Callithrix jacchus: one gene and its partners. The protein of the gene in region 2 purifies or fractionates together with the protein of the main gene of each other region. This does not show direct contact. Links are inferred from orthologs where the notes say so. Each region holds a gene or a part of one and is shown on either strand. Other genes may lie near its edges. The genes, in order: AHCYL2, JOSD2 and AHCYL1.

The links.
Region 1: the proteins of JOSD2 (region 2) and AHCYL2 purify together in Homo sapiens (affinity purification with mass spectrometry; 3 studies listed by BioGRID and IntAct, counting the BioPlex papers as one, with this or other methods). This does not show direct contact. The link is inferred for Callithrix jacchus from reciprocal best matches to the Homo sapiens genes JOSD2 and AHCYL2.
Region 3: the proteins of JOSD2 (region 2) and AHCYL1 purify together in Homo sapiens (affinity purification with mass spectrometry; 4 studies listed by BioGRID and IntAct, counting the BioPlex papers as one, with this or other methods). This does not show direct contact. The link is inferred for Callithrix jacchus from reciprocal best matches to the Homo sapiens genes JOSD2 and AHCYL1.

What each region holds. Positions count from the first base shown.
Region 1 is NC_133512.1:117,813,422-117,817,069, forward strand, and holds part of AHCYL2 (adenosylhomocysteinase 3), read right to left. Parts: intron 2,721-3,648; coding exon 2,577-2,720; intron 1,713-2,576; coding exon 1,612-1,712; intron 1-1,611. UniProt on the Homo sapiens protein: May regulate the electrogenic sodium/bicarbonate cotransporter SLC4A4 activity and Mg(2+)-sensitivity. On the contrary of its homolog AHCYL1, does not regulate ITPR1 sensitivity to inositol 1,4,5-trisphosphate.
Region 2 is NC_133523.1:44,162,115-44,166,354, forward strand, and holds the start of JOSD2 (josephin-2), read right to left. Parts: upstream 2,893-4,240; 5' UTR 2,472-2,892; coding exon 2,462-2,471; intron 1,903-2,461; coding exon 1,740-1,902; intron 1-1,739. Other genes in the region: ASPDH (aspartate dehydrogenase domain-containing protein), read right to left, coding at 3,083-3,217, 3,566-3,770, 3,840-4,240. UniProt on the Homo sapiens protein: Cleaves 'Lys-63'-linked poly-ubiquitin chains, and with lesser efficiency 'Lys-48'-linked poly-ubiquitin chains (in vitro). May act as a deubiquitinating enzyme.
Region 3 is NC_133508.1:147,857,001-147,860,648, forward strand, and holds part of AHCYL1 (S-adenosylhomocysteine hydrolase-like protein 1), read left to right. Parts: intron 1-1,685; coding exon 1,686-1,797; intron 1,798-3,648. UniProt on the Homo sapiens protein: Multifaceted cellular regulator which coordinates several essential cellular functions including regulation of epithelial HCO3(-) and fluid secretion, mRNA processing and DNA replication.

The DNA of each region.
Region 1 (3,648 bases), on a different chromosome or scaffold from region 2:
CAGTTTGTGATGACTAGAATAGTTGTAAGCATCTTGCTATCAGCGTGAGAGTGAAGTAAGCACACTGAGGAGGCAGCTCCAAGAGAATCAGAGAGGTGAAGCTGGAGCCCTGAGATCCTGCATCTGAAGTCTGCCTTCCCTTTGGACTTTCTGCTATGTACTGTGATAAATTCCTTTATGTGGCATAACTTTTATTACAGTCTATTGTTATAATTGCTCTCTTTTATTTTGAGTTATTATTATTCATTTCTTATAGTGCCTAATTTATAGCTGCCTCTCAGTATCCTCAGGGGATTGATTCCAGGACTCCCATGATACCAAAATCTGAGGATACTCAAGTCCCTTATATAAAATGATGCAGTGTTTGCATATAACCTGTGCACATCCTTCTGTGTGTGTGTATATATATATATATATGTGTGTGTGTGTGTATATATATATGTGTGTGTGTGTATATATATATGTGTGTGTGTATATATATGTGCGTGTGTATATGTGTGTGTGTATATATATGTGTGTGTGTGTATATATGTGTGTGTGTATATATATGTGCATGTGTATGTGTGTGTATATATATGTGCATGTGTATATATGTGTGTGTGTATATATGTGTGCATGTGTATATGTGTGTGTGTATATATGTGCGTGTGTATATGTGTGTGTGTATATATATGTGCGTGTGTATATATGTGTGTGTGTGTATATATATGTATATATACACATGTATATATACACACATATATATATATATATATTTGAGACAGGGTTTCACTCTTGTTGCCCAGACTGGAGTGCAATGGCATGATCTCAGCTCACTGAAAACTCTGCCTCCTGGGTTCAAGCGATTCTCTTGCCTCAGCCTCCTGAGTAGTTGGGACTATAGGCATGCACCACCACACCCAGCTAATTTTGTATTTTTAGGAGAGACAGGATTTTTCCATGTTGGTCAGTCTGGTCTTAAACTCCCGACCTCAGGTGATCTGCCCACCTCAACCTCCCAAAGTGCTGGGATTACAGGTGTGAGCCACTGTGCCCAGCCCCTTCTGTATATTTTAAAGCATCTCTAGGTTATTTATAATACCTAATATGGTATAAATGCTACATAAATAGTTGTTATATTTCTTATCTTTTTTTATTGTTGTATTATTTTATTTTCTGAATATTTTGATCTGCAATTGGTCAAATCCTCAGGAAGGACTGGTGTGCACCGGAGGCCCAATTGCATAAATTAAACTTAATCATAGGTATATATGTATAGGAAAAAACATAGTATACATAGGGTTAGGTACTGTCTAAAATTTCAGGTGTCCACTGGGGGGTCTTGAAACTTATCCCCCACAGACAAGGTAGGGAGACTACTGTATATTGAAGTTAAAATCTTGACTCCGTGATTTCTAGCTATGTAACCTTAAACAAATATTTTAAGTCCTCTGAGCCTCAGCTTCTTTGTTTACAAAATGGAAACAATACCTGCTTTATATGGCCATTATAAGGATTAATGCGCTAATACTTGCTAAGCTCTTAACTCAGTACTTGGCATGTTGTAAGCTTTCAGTAGCTCGTGGCTATTATTAACTATTCTTATTAAAAGGAGAAAGGAAAAGAACTCACAGCAGTCTGAGCAGTGATGTGTGTGCAACCCACGATTTTGGCTCCAGCCAAAGGCTTTTCTCCTTGAGCTCTCTTCCTCAAAGCCATCAGTGCAGGCATTTCTGAAAAGGCCCAATATATAAACAACAATATTAAACAGGAGGGAATAAGAGATAAAAGAACAAACAGAAAAACTTACTTTCTTAAGATCCTTCCCCTCAAGGGATCAAGACATTAAACCTGAATTTTCCTTTATAAAAAACTTTTAGAGACAAATGTTTCAGGGTTCTGAGTCTCTATATTCTAGTCATTATCCAGTCTCTGTCCTTTTTTTTTTTTTTTTTTTTTTAATGATTTTTGTTGTTGTTGTTGAGATGAAGTCTCACTTGTGTTGCCCAGGTGGGAGTGCAATGGCACGATCTGGGCTCACTACAACCTCTGCCTCCTGGGTTCAAGCGATTCTCCTACCTCAGTCTCCCGAGTAGCTGGGATTACAAGCGTGTACCACCATGCCCAGCTAATTTTTATATTTTTAGTAGAGATGGAGTTTCACCATGTTAGCCAGACTGGTCTTGAACTCCTGACCTCAGGTGATCCGCCTGCCTCAGACTCCCAAAGTGCTGGGATTAAAGGTGCGAGCCACCGTGCCTGGCCTCTCTTTATTTTTTATTTTTATTTATTTATTTTTTTGCCAATCAGTTTGAGCTTATAAGGTTGCTCAGGTTAGCCTTGAGCTCATGACCTCGCCTTCGCAAGCGCCACGACCTCCGGCGGGAGCCACTTTGGACCCCCTTTTTTTTAATATAGGGTTCCTTGTAGACTTGTCAGAGTTCCTCAGTGTTTCCTGAGCTCATATTTATTTTGTTTTAAGTACTCTTCATTATCACATAGAAATTTCACAAGCTACCAGACCCCAGACATAAGGGATTAATATGGACAAAAAGACACAGGCAGGCTGAGAAGGAAAATGTGCTTGTTTTCTTTACCTTGTTCAGCAATTTCAATTTCTCTTCGTCCGAACTCTGCTTGTTTGATGTTCTTGACACAGAAGTCACTGCTTCCCTTAGAGTTCTTTTGCTGCTTGTCCCTGGGGGATGTCTCATCATCAGAGCTATCTGTATATGAAGCCGCTGGAATGACAGAATAAAAAACTCTCAGGGGGAAAAAATGCTTCCTCTAAAATTCTGGATCATGGAGTGAACTGAAGTTTCTCTAGCCAGCTAGCACCATATAAATTTTTTACCTCTGGTAAGCACCTACATGCTAAACACAGGCCAGAAGAGGGAAGCTGAAAGAGACTGCCAAAGACATTCTCCCTGGATAGCCTTAACTTGAAATCTAGGGCTAACTTTATCTTCAGAACATGCAGAGGTCCTTGAATTCGCAAAAAAGAGAGAGGTTACACAACAGTAGCTTTAGGTGAAAATCATGGTCATTAACCTGTGGGTTTTGGGGATTCTAGCTACTCTGCTCTGTGTGCTGCCTAAGTATTTGATATAATTTGTGTTTTAGTGAAATTACTGAATAGATAAGACCTAGAAAACAAGGAACCCACGGGAAAGTAATTAAGAACCACACAAAAAGTATTTGTCTGACATAATAGAGCTTTCTTTTTTAAGACTGACTCTGATGAAGCTGAATTGTGCCTGCAGACCCAATTATACATCGACAATGAAGTATTCAATGTGCTCTCCCTTCTTGCTGGCCTCAGTGGGTGCTGTGCATTTTAGGCTCTCAAAGAAGTAAATAAATCCTCTTTTGGTACAAAAAAATGCTCTGATAACGAATCCATTTAGCAACATACCCTAGAGCGTGAAAGGTCTAAAACTTTATTGTGGCTATAACAGGCAGCTGCTGCTATTGCTATTCACATGCTTAGCTGAGGTCTTTAGTCTTCATAGAGTTCTGTAGTTGCTAACCATTTGCTAGATTATTTGAAGCAGTGTCCTTCCCTGATTTGTGTTTGAGTTTCTGAAGATAGTTCCCTAACCCCCAAGTTTTCTTAGGGGTTAAGAAACACTCTCTAGAAAATGCTTCTCTCAGTGGAGTAAGTACTGC
Region 2 (4,240 bases):
CCAGTCTCTCACTCTAGTCCATTTCCCTGAGGCCCTGAGCCTCCCCTGCTCACAGGCCTCCCATGGCTCCCCAGCGCCCCTGGACAAAGTCCCCATCCCTTGGCCAGTCCCTTCCTCTGTCTGTCAAGACCCACCTCAGATGTCACATCCTCTGAGAGGAGCCTCCTGACCTCCAGGCTGAGTCAAGGCCCTCTCTGGGCTGCCCCAGTGAACTGAGCACCTCAATGATGACAGCTGCCCGGATCACCCTGACTGAACACTGCCTGCTCCTCCCACGGGGCAGCCCTGCCCTTCCCCTGGTCACAGCCCACTCTGCTGCCTCACTTCCCCCAGGACAGACTCCCACGAGGTCCTGCGTGGTCTGGACCTGGTGGCCTTACCTCAGAGCCTTAGCCCCCTTCTTCCTGGCCCTGTCCCCACCCACATCCCCTGTAGGGCACGCCCCGCCCAAGAAGGCTCTTCTGCCAGCCAACACTTGCATCTTTGGGCCCTGCCTCTGAACCGCTGCACATCTGTTCCCTATCTGGGCCCTGGGAGAGCAGGGCACGGGACGAAAAAGCTCCTGTGTGTGTGTTTCCCTCGCCTCCCTCAGGCCAGCACTCGTGTATCAGTCATCTCAGGGTCTCCAGCATGGCTTTGGCATGAAAGAGCTGATGGGTCCTTGTTCTGAATGACAGAGATGAATATACCCCATAATAATCAGTCTGAGACTCAGGCTATCCGGGAGCCGAAGGAGGCTTCGAGCAAGGCGCAGAGGAGGCAGGGCTATCTCTGGGTGTAGAAAGACCCTCTAGTGTCATGTGGGGACTGAGGGAGGGGACAGACTGGCGGTCACAGGCAGGCTGGGCAGGAGAGGGTCAGGCCTGAGCTAGGGCCAAGGACATGGGGACAGAGAGGAGGGAGTGAGATGATAAAGGCATATGTTTGTTTGAGACAGGGTCTTGCTCTGTTGCCTGGCTCACTGAAACCTCTGTCTCCCAGGTTCAAGCAATTCTCCAGAGTAGCTGGGACTACAGGTGTGTACCACCATGCCCAGCTAATGTTTTTTAAATTTTTTTAGTAGAGATAGGGTTTCACCCTGTTGGCCAGGGCGGTCTCAAACTCCTGACCTTAAGTGATCCACCCACCTTGGCCTCCCAAAGTGCTGGGATTCCAGGAGTGAGCCACCATGCCTGGCTAAGGAGTGATGTTTGACATGGTGAATAGTGAAGAGGAACATTCCAGGCTGGCAGGGAAGGCAGCCACGCCAGGCAGAAAGAAGTACTTGGAGGCCCAGAGGCCACACAGTGGGGCCTCCAGGGGAGTGGAGTGAAGTCTGGTTTGAGGGGGTCTGATGGCTGAAGCTGCAGAGGCAGGCTCAGCCTCTGCTACGAGGAGGGCCCTGAGCAGGGCGGGGCATGTTTAGGATGGACTGGAGAGCTGTGACAGGGCCCAGATAAGAGACCCTGAAGCTGGGTGAGCCTGTAATCACAGCTCCTGGGGAGGCTGAGGTGGGAGGATCACTTAAGCTTGGGAGCTCGAGGCCAGCCGAGCAGCACAGCAAGACTGTCTCTAAAAAAACGAAAGAACCACCGGATTGAGGCCTGGCTGGGGCTGAAGCCACAGGGACAGACAGGCACAGGAGGCAACATCTCCCCAGTGTCTAGCTTAGGCAAGTGAGCAGGGTGGGGGCAGAAGAAAGGCCCCCAGGCTCAGCGCGCCTGCCTGCTGCTCCAGGGGCTGGGGTGGGTGACGGTCACCTCTTGCAGATCTCATCGGCAGCCTCCTGGCTAAAGAGCTGCTGCTGCAGAACGTTGTTGAGGGCGTGGACGGCACACAGCTCCAGGCGCTGCCGTTCGTGGTACACAGAGGGCGGACTCGGCTGTGCTCCCGGGGCCTGGGACATGCCGTCCTTGGCTCCTGCTGGGGGTTGGGAGGGGGAGAAGGTCCTCAGGGGCCTGGTATCTAGAGGTTCAACCTCCCAGCAGGCCTTTGGGGCATCGCCATTGATTGAGCTGGGGCTCGGGACAGTCCGGGAGGACCCCGGGCCCCTGATCCTGCTCCCTGGCAGTCTCCTGGCAGTACACGTTCCTCCATCCCCTATTCCTATTCCTACGAAAAAGGCTGTCTCTTCAGCTCCCTTAGCAACAGAGAACCACCCCCACCACGTCTCTAAGTAACAGGGTCCCTAACATGCTCACCTAGCAACAGAGGAACCCTCCTCCCCTGTCCCTAGGTAACCGGGGCGCTCTGTGGTTACCTAGCAACACAGCCCCCGTCCCACCGCACTAGGTAACAGTCTGTCCTCCGAGCACCTAGCAATAGAGGGTCCTCCTCCTCTGTCTCTAGGTGATAGGGTCCCCTCTGGTCTCCTAGCAACAGAAGACTCCCTTCCCTGGTCAGGAAGCAGCCAGGCTCTCTGCTCTTGTCACTTGGCAACGGGGGGGGGGCCCTCTCCCCAGTCACTAAGCAACAGGAGTACCTCTTCCCATCTCCCGGCAACCAGGCCCCGTCCCCGGACACCAAGGAATGGAGCCCTTCACCGACCCGCAGCCCAACCACGGCGCTCGCCCTTTGCCTGGCAACGCCCCTCACCCCGCCAGCCTCTCCACTCCACCGAGCCAGGGGCTTCCGCATCCCCCTCCTGGGCGGCGGATCTGGGCTCCCAGTGCGGGGCGGGCAGCGCTGCGCTGACTGGGCAGGAGGGACGGACTACAGCTCCCGGCGGTCCCCGCACGCCGGACTGCTACTCCCGTGGGTCCCCGCGGGACGCTTGCTCCACAAGGAACGCCCAGGGCGCGTAGCCCTGAGGTCCGCTGTCGGGCCCAGAAAACGCCGCACTACAACTTTGGTCGGGCCCCGCGGCAAGTCCCGGAAGTGCGCCTCAGAGGCCATTCCCTCGCGTACGGCCGCGCCCACTGCCGCGCAGAGATTCTGGGAAATATAGTGGGTAGGCTCTCGCGATAGCTTCCTGGCTCCGCGCTGTCGCGGGTGCTCGCCCCTTGTGATGGCGTCCTGCGCGGTGCGTAGACGCAGCGTGACGTCACACAAGGGAAACAGGACCAGAGACGCCAGGCGGCGGAGCTGCGGGCATCTGTGATCTTTACTGAGTTAGAAGGGAGATCCTGGGGAAGTGGAGCAGGGCAGGAGAGGGAGGCCAGTCAGATGATCTCGTCTCGGGAGGGAGAGGCTTCTCAGCAGAGATGGATCCCCGGCCTGGAGGGGAGCTGGCAGCAGGCTGCGGGGAGAGAGGGGAATGAGCTACTGAGAGAGGAGAGATGAGAGGCAGTGGTGAGAGAAAGGGACAGGCCAGGGCGGCGGTGGAGGAAGACCCCCAAGAAAGCAAGACAGAGCCCTGGGGGTGGACAGAGACACACACACACACACACACACACATACACACACACAGTACCAGACAGAGGCGGGCACAGAGACTCAAGAGAGGAGACACGGACAGAGATGGAGACATCTACAGTGCCAGGATTCAAAGTCGTGGAGAGAGAGGGTTAAGGAAATAAAGGTCGGAAGTAAAGGTCAACAAGGACAGAACCAGAACTGCAGAACTAGCCAGGGCCTGGGACCCCACCCTCTGCAGACACAGGAGCCCAGGGCTGGGGGAGCGGAGCCTGGCCGCACCCAGGAGGCTCCACCAGAAGGCCGTGACGGTGGCAGAGCCGGTGACCGCGCCTCGCTCTGCAGGGTTCTCTCTGCGGGTGTGCACAGCAAAGCTTCGGCCCGTGGGGCCCGGGGGTCCGCTCAGCTCCACGTCCACCACGTGCATGTCCGTGAGGCTGGGGCAAGCAGGGCGGTCAGTCTGGTTACCCTGGACTTGGCCCAACCCCCTGCTCAGCTCTGCTCACCTGAGATCAGCCACAAGCACCCCAATCACCCCATCGAAGCCCAGGCTGGGGGCAGCCAGGGCAGCGGCCGCCATGGTGTTGGAGTTTCGGGGGGCAAAGGGGCAGAGCCCACGGACAGGGCCTTCATAGAGCACAGTGCGATGCCCGGTGCTGTGGGCTGCAGCCAGGGGTCCCTCCAGCCGGAAGCCATCGGGGTGTGTGGCCATGGTGACACGCAGGCTCTGGAAGCAAGAGCCCGGGTCAGGGGGTGTAGGGTCTTGGCAGGCCCCCTCCGGTTCCTCGGGAGCCCAGCAGACCCGAACCTGGAGGCCCCCAGCTGCATCCAATCTCCTGATGTCCTCAGTGCCCCACAGAGCCCCTCGGGCCACAAACACGGCATGGTTCCAGTGGTTCGAGGCCTC
Region 3 (3,648 bases), on a different chromosome or scaffold from region 2:
TTTATCTTACACGAGAAAGTCTTTCTTTCTTTCCCTTTTTGAACCATATCCTAATTGTGTGGAAACACAAGAAAGGATTTTGAAACGATGACTCATTCTACAGGCATTCATTGAATGCCTTCCTACATGTTTAAGAACCTGGGCTGGGTGCCAGCATAGGTAGCTCTTTCCCTTCCATGCCTTTAGGATGTGTTCCTAGATTTAATTAAACAGGATCTGTCCTCTGTCCCCTCCTTATTTCACAGAGTAGGCTAACGAAAACTTGCCTGGTTAAATTTTAAATAGAAATACCCACAGGGTTTTCTCTTAGGCCTGGTACTCATAGTATGCATGGCTATTACTACATGGCTGGTCTCTGCTTTCATTCTTGGTGTGAACTGTGCTAGACTTGTGTTCCCTTGATTACTGCCTTATTACCTGTGGAGTCCTGCTAATTCAGTTTTTAATTTATTTATGTTAGCTGCGTATGCCTAGGCTGCCCCCTTAAACCCGATTCTTACACTGCAGTCTGGTGCTCTCCTAGCTGAAGAGTACATGTGAAAGAGGAGGGGAAGCTTTTGCAGCTGTAACTAATGGGTAGTTTACTGTTCCTGGCTTTAAAATGGCTATAACCATGTTGCCAGTATTATGCAGAGAAGATTTTAATCTGTAGTTGTTTACATTTCTGAAGTATTCGCTAAAGGCTTAGCTTAATGGATTCTCCATGGGAACCTTTTCAAATTTAGTCAGACTGTGAACAGAATCTCAGTTGAGATTCTCAAGCCATCCTGCTTATTTCAGGATGGTGAAGTTTATTTTATTTTGAAGGGGGTTTGTCAGAGTTTAAACAGGAGTTCAGCAGATTTAAACCATGTAATAAAAGTGTTACATACTGTATAAATCTATAATTAATATTAATTACCAGCTATTTGCTGTTGATTAGAGCCAGTTTTCCAAGTATCCTTCAAAGAATTATCTAGTTCTGGTTTATTTCATTTAAGGTATTTTTTAATACGAAGTTTACCAAGTCATTATTTTCTCCTTCATTCATATTAGTCCTAATGAGTTAGAATTGACTATAGTGTATGCGGGTTTTTCAATTTTTCTTTATCATTCTGGTATTTTAAATTTTTTACTAGGATAGAAGGTTTTGGGGATAGTACCTTGGCTTTGTGAAGTATAGACATATGGTTGGGCTCTGAGTACTGGCACCTTAATGCCCATCATCATTTCTAGGCATCTCTTCATAATTCTTTCAGAAAGCAAGACCATTGCCAACTTTAGGAATATGCTACCAGAGAATATTCTGAAAACAAAAACCAAAAAAACCCAGTAACACTATGAGATTCTGTTTTCTGAAAGATTTGGGAAGGGGGCAAAGAGTTTAACATGTCAGGGTTATAAGAGGGAGGAAAACTTTATGGAATGTGAGAAAGGTTTATAAAATTGGACAAATACTAAAAGAAGTTGGGCTTAATCTTAGCCCCTCCTTCCAAATCCTGCAGAAATAATTGGGAGGAGAAAGTGATTGATGTTTTGGGAGAAGTCAAGAGAGTAGCCTTGCCTTCCCCTGTTTCTGGTGGGAAAGTGCTGGCTTAGTAGGAGCCATGTGATAACATTGGCTTTTAGGAAAGACAGTTTAAAAAATGGAACATTTCATGGAATTTCCTTACAAGTTTTCAACTTTTTGTCTTTCTTTTGTATAGCAAATCCAGTTTGCTGATGACATGCAGGAGTTCACCAAATTCCCCACCAAAACTGGCCGAAGATCTTTGTCTCGCTCCATCTCACAGTCCTCTACTGATAGCTACAGTTCAGGTAGATGTGAATAAACTCCATGACCTCTTGAATCTCTCTTCCCTGTTTGCTACCTGTGCTCTTCACTTACCAGCCTGGAAATACCTCCTGTTATGACTGCCCACCATTGTGCTGAAAACAGTTAGTGGCTGAGCAGTGGGAATGTTCTGCATTCAGGCTAGTAGCTGGGGAAGCTTTTGTTGACGCGAGACTTTCTTCCCCCTGGCCGTCTATGTGTGTGGTCTGTGGCCAGTGCCCAGTTGGTAGGACTGGGCTAGTTCCCATTCCCACATTGAGCTGCCCACATTTCAAAGGGAAGAAATCAATGCTATTTTGGCTGACAGAATTGGCCTTGAAAACGAAGTGCATTTTGAAGCACGATTTCTTTGTATAAAATATACCCTGCCCCCTATCTTTTTCTTTCTTGTCCCCAAGACTACTTAGATTGTAACAATAACTGCTTAGATCATAGTTAGTATTTTGGCTCCTTTTATTTACGAGGTTATTCCTTCTGTTGTAATATCCTCCCCTGTTAGCCTCTGAAGTAGGAAAGATTCAGACTCTACTATAATGTGACTCCAGCTCTGTTTCTTCTTAGTCCTCTCCTCCTATCTTAACTCTCTATAAGTAAAGTCTTTTTCTGATTCATATTGTGTCCTTCCCAACTATAGAGCATGTATTAGAAAATTAGCATAGAAAAGAATATAGAATCTTGGCAACTGAATATAGGAGAAAACATCAGGGATATCTAATGGGGCATCCAGTAAAACCTTGTCATTGTTTAACTGAAAACTCACTGTTAAAAAGATTACAGGTTACAGATTGCTATTAATGATCAGCAGAGATATTTGTACCAAAAGCCATTCATTGTCCTTTGCCAGAATACCTTTTGCATTGTGTTATTAACATTAAGGATTAACATAAATGAAAAGCCATTATATATGATCTTGGAGTGACAGATAAAAAGAGGTGGGTGACAAGCAGGCTAATTGTAGCTAAGAAAGAAGAAACATCGTGAAAAGTTCAGTTATGAGAGGAAGAATGATAAAATGACTGAAGAAGGCTTTTAAAAAGTCTTCAAAGATCTTGATGGCCATGTTGCAGAAATGTATTAGAGCCTTTTAAAAAGCCTAGTGATGTGGTTAAATTGTTACAGTGGGGAAGATATTTTTTTTTTTTTTTTTAAAGACAGAGTCTCTCTCTGTTGCCCAGGTGGAGTGCAGTGGTGTAATGGCAGCTCATTGCAACCTCTGCCTCCTTTGTTCAAGAGATTCTCCTGCCTCAACCTTCCAAGTAGCTGGGACTACAGGCGCATGCCACCACACCTAGCTAATTTTTGTCTTTTTAGTAGAGACAGGGTTTCATCATGTTGGCCAGGATGGTCTCAATCTCTTGACCTCTTGATCCGCCTGCCTCGGCCTCCCGAAGTGCTGGGATTACAGGCATAAGCCACTGCACCTGGCCGGAAGGTAATCTTTAGTAGTATTTGTGTTAGCTGGACAGGAGGAGGACCTGTATATAGAAGTCAGTCAGTGAGAGAGACCAGGTATACGAGCAGAAACAGTGATGAGGAAAGCGCTCAATTCAGAGAGGAACGAAGTGATTTGAGAGGTAAGGAATGGTTGCTGTATGTCTTCTTGCATGTCTGTTGGCTTTTTTGGCTTTTATGTGAAACTGCTTTTTAAAGTTGATCATTTTGACAGGCTTTCCCAGTGCTAACAATAGAGCTGCTTGTCTTTTGTGCCGTTTCTTTCTTTCTCTATTCCTTGAGCACAAGCTAGTGTAAAATCCCTTGTAGACTATCTTATCACTTTGTCTTTACCCTTGGTTCTTAAAGTGAGGTCCTCTGACTAACAGCATCAGCAACACCTG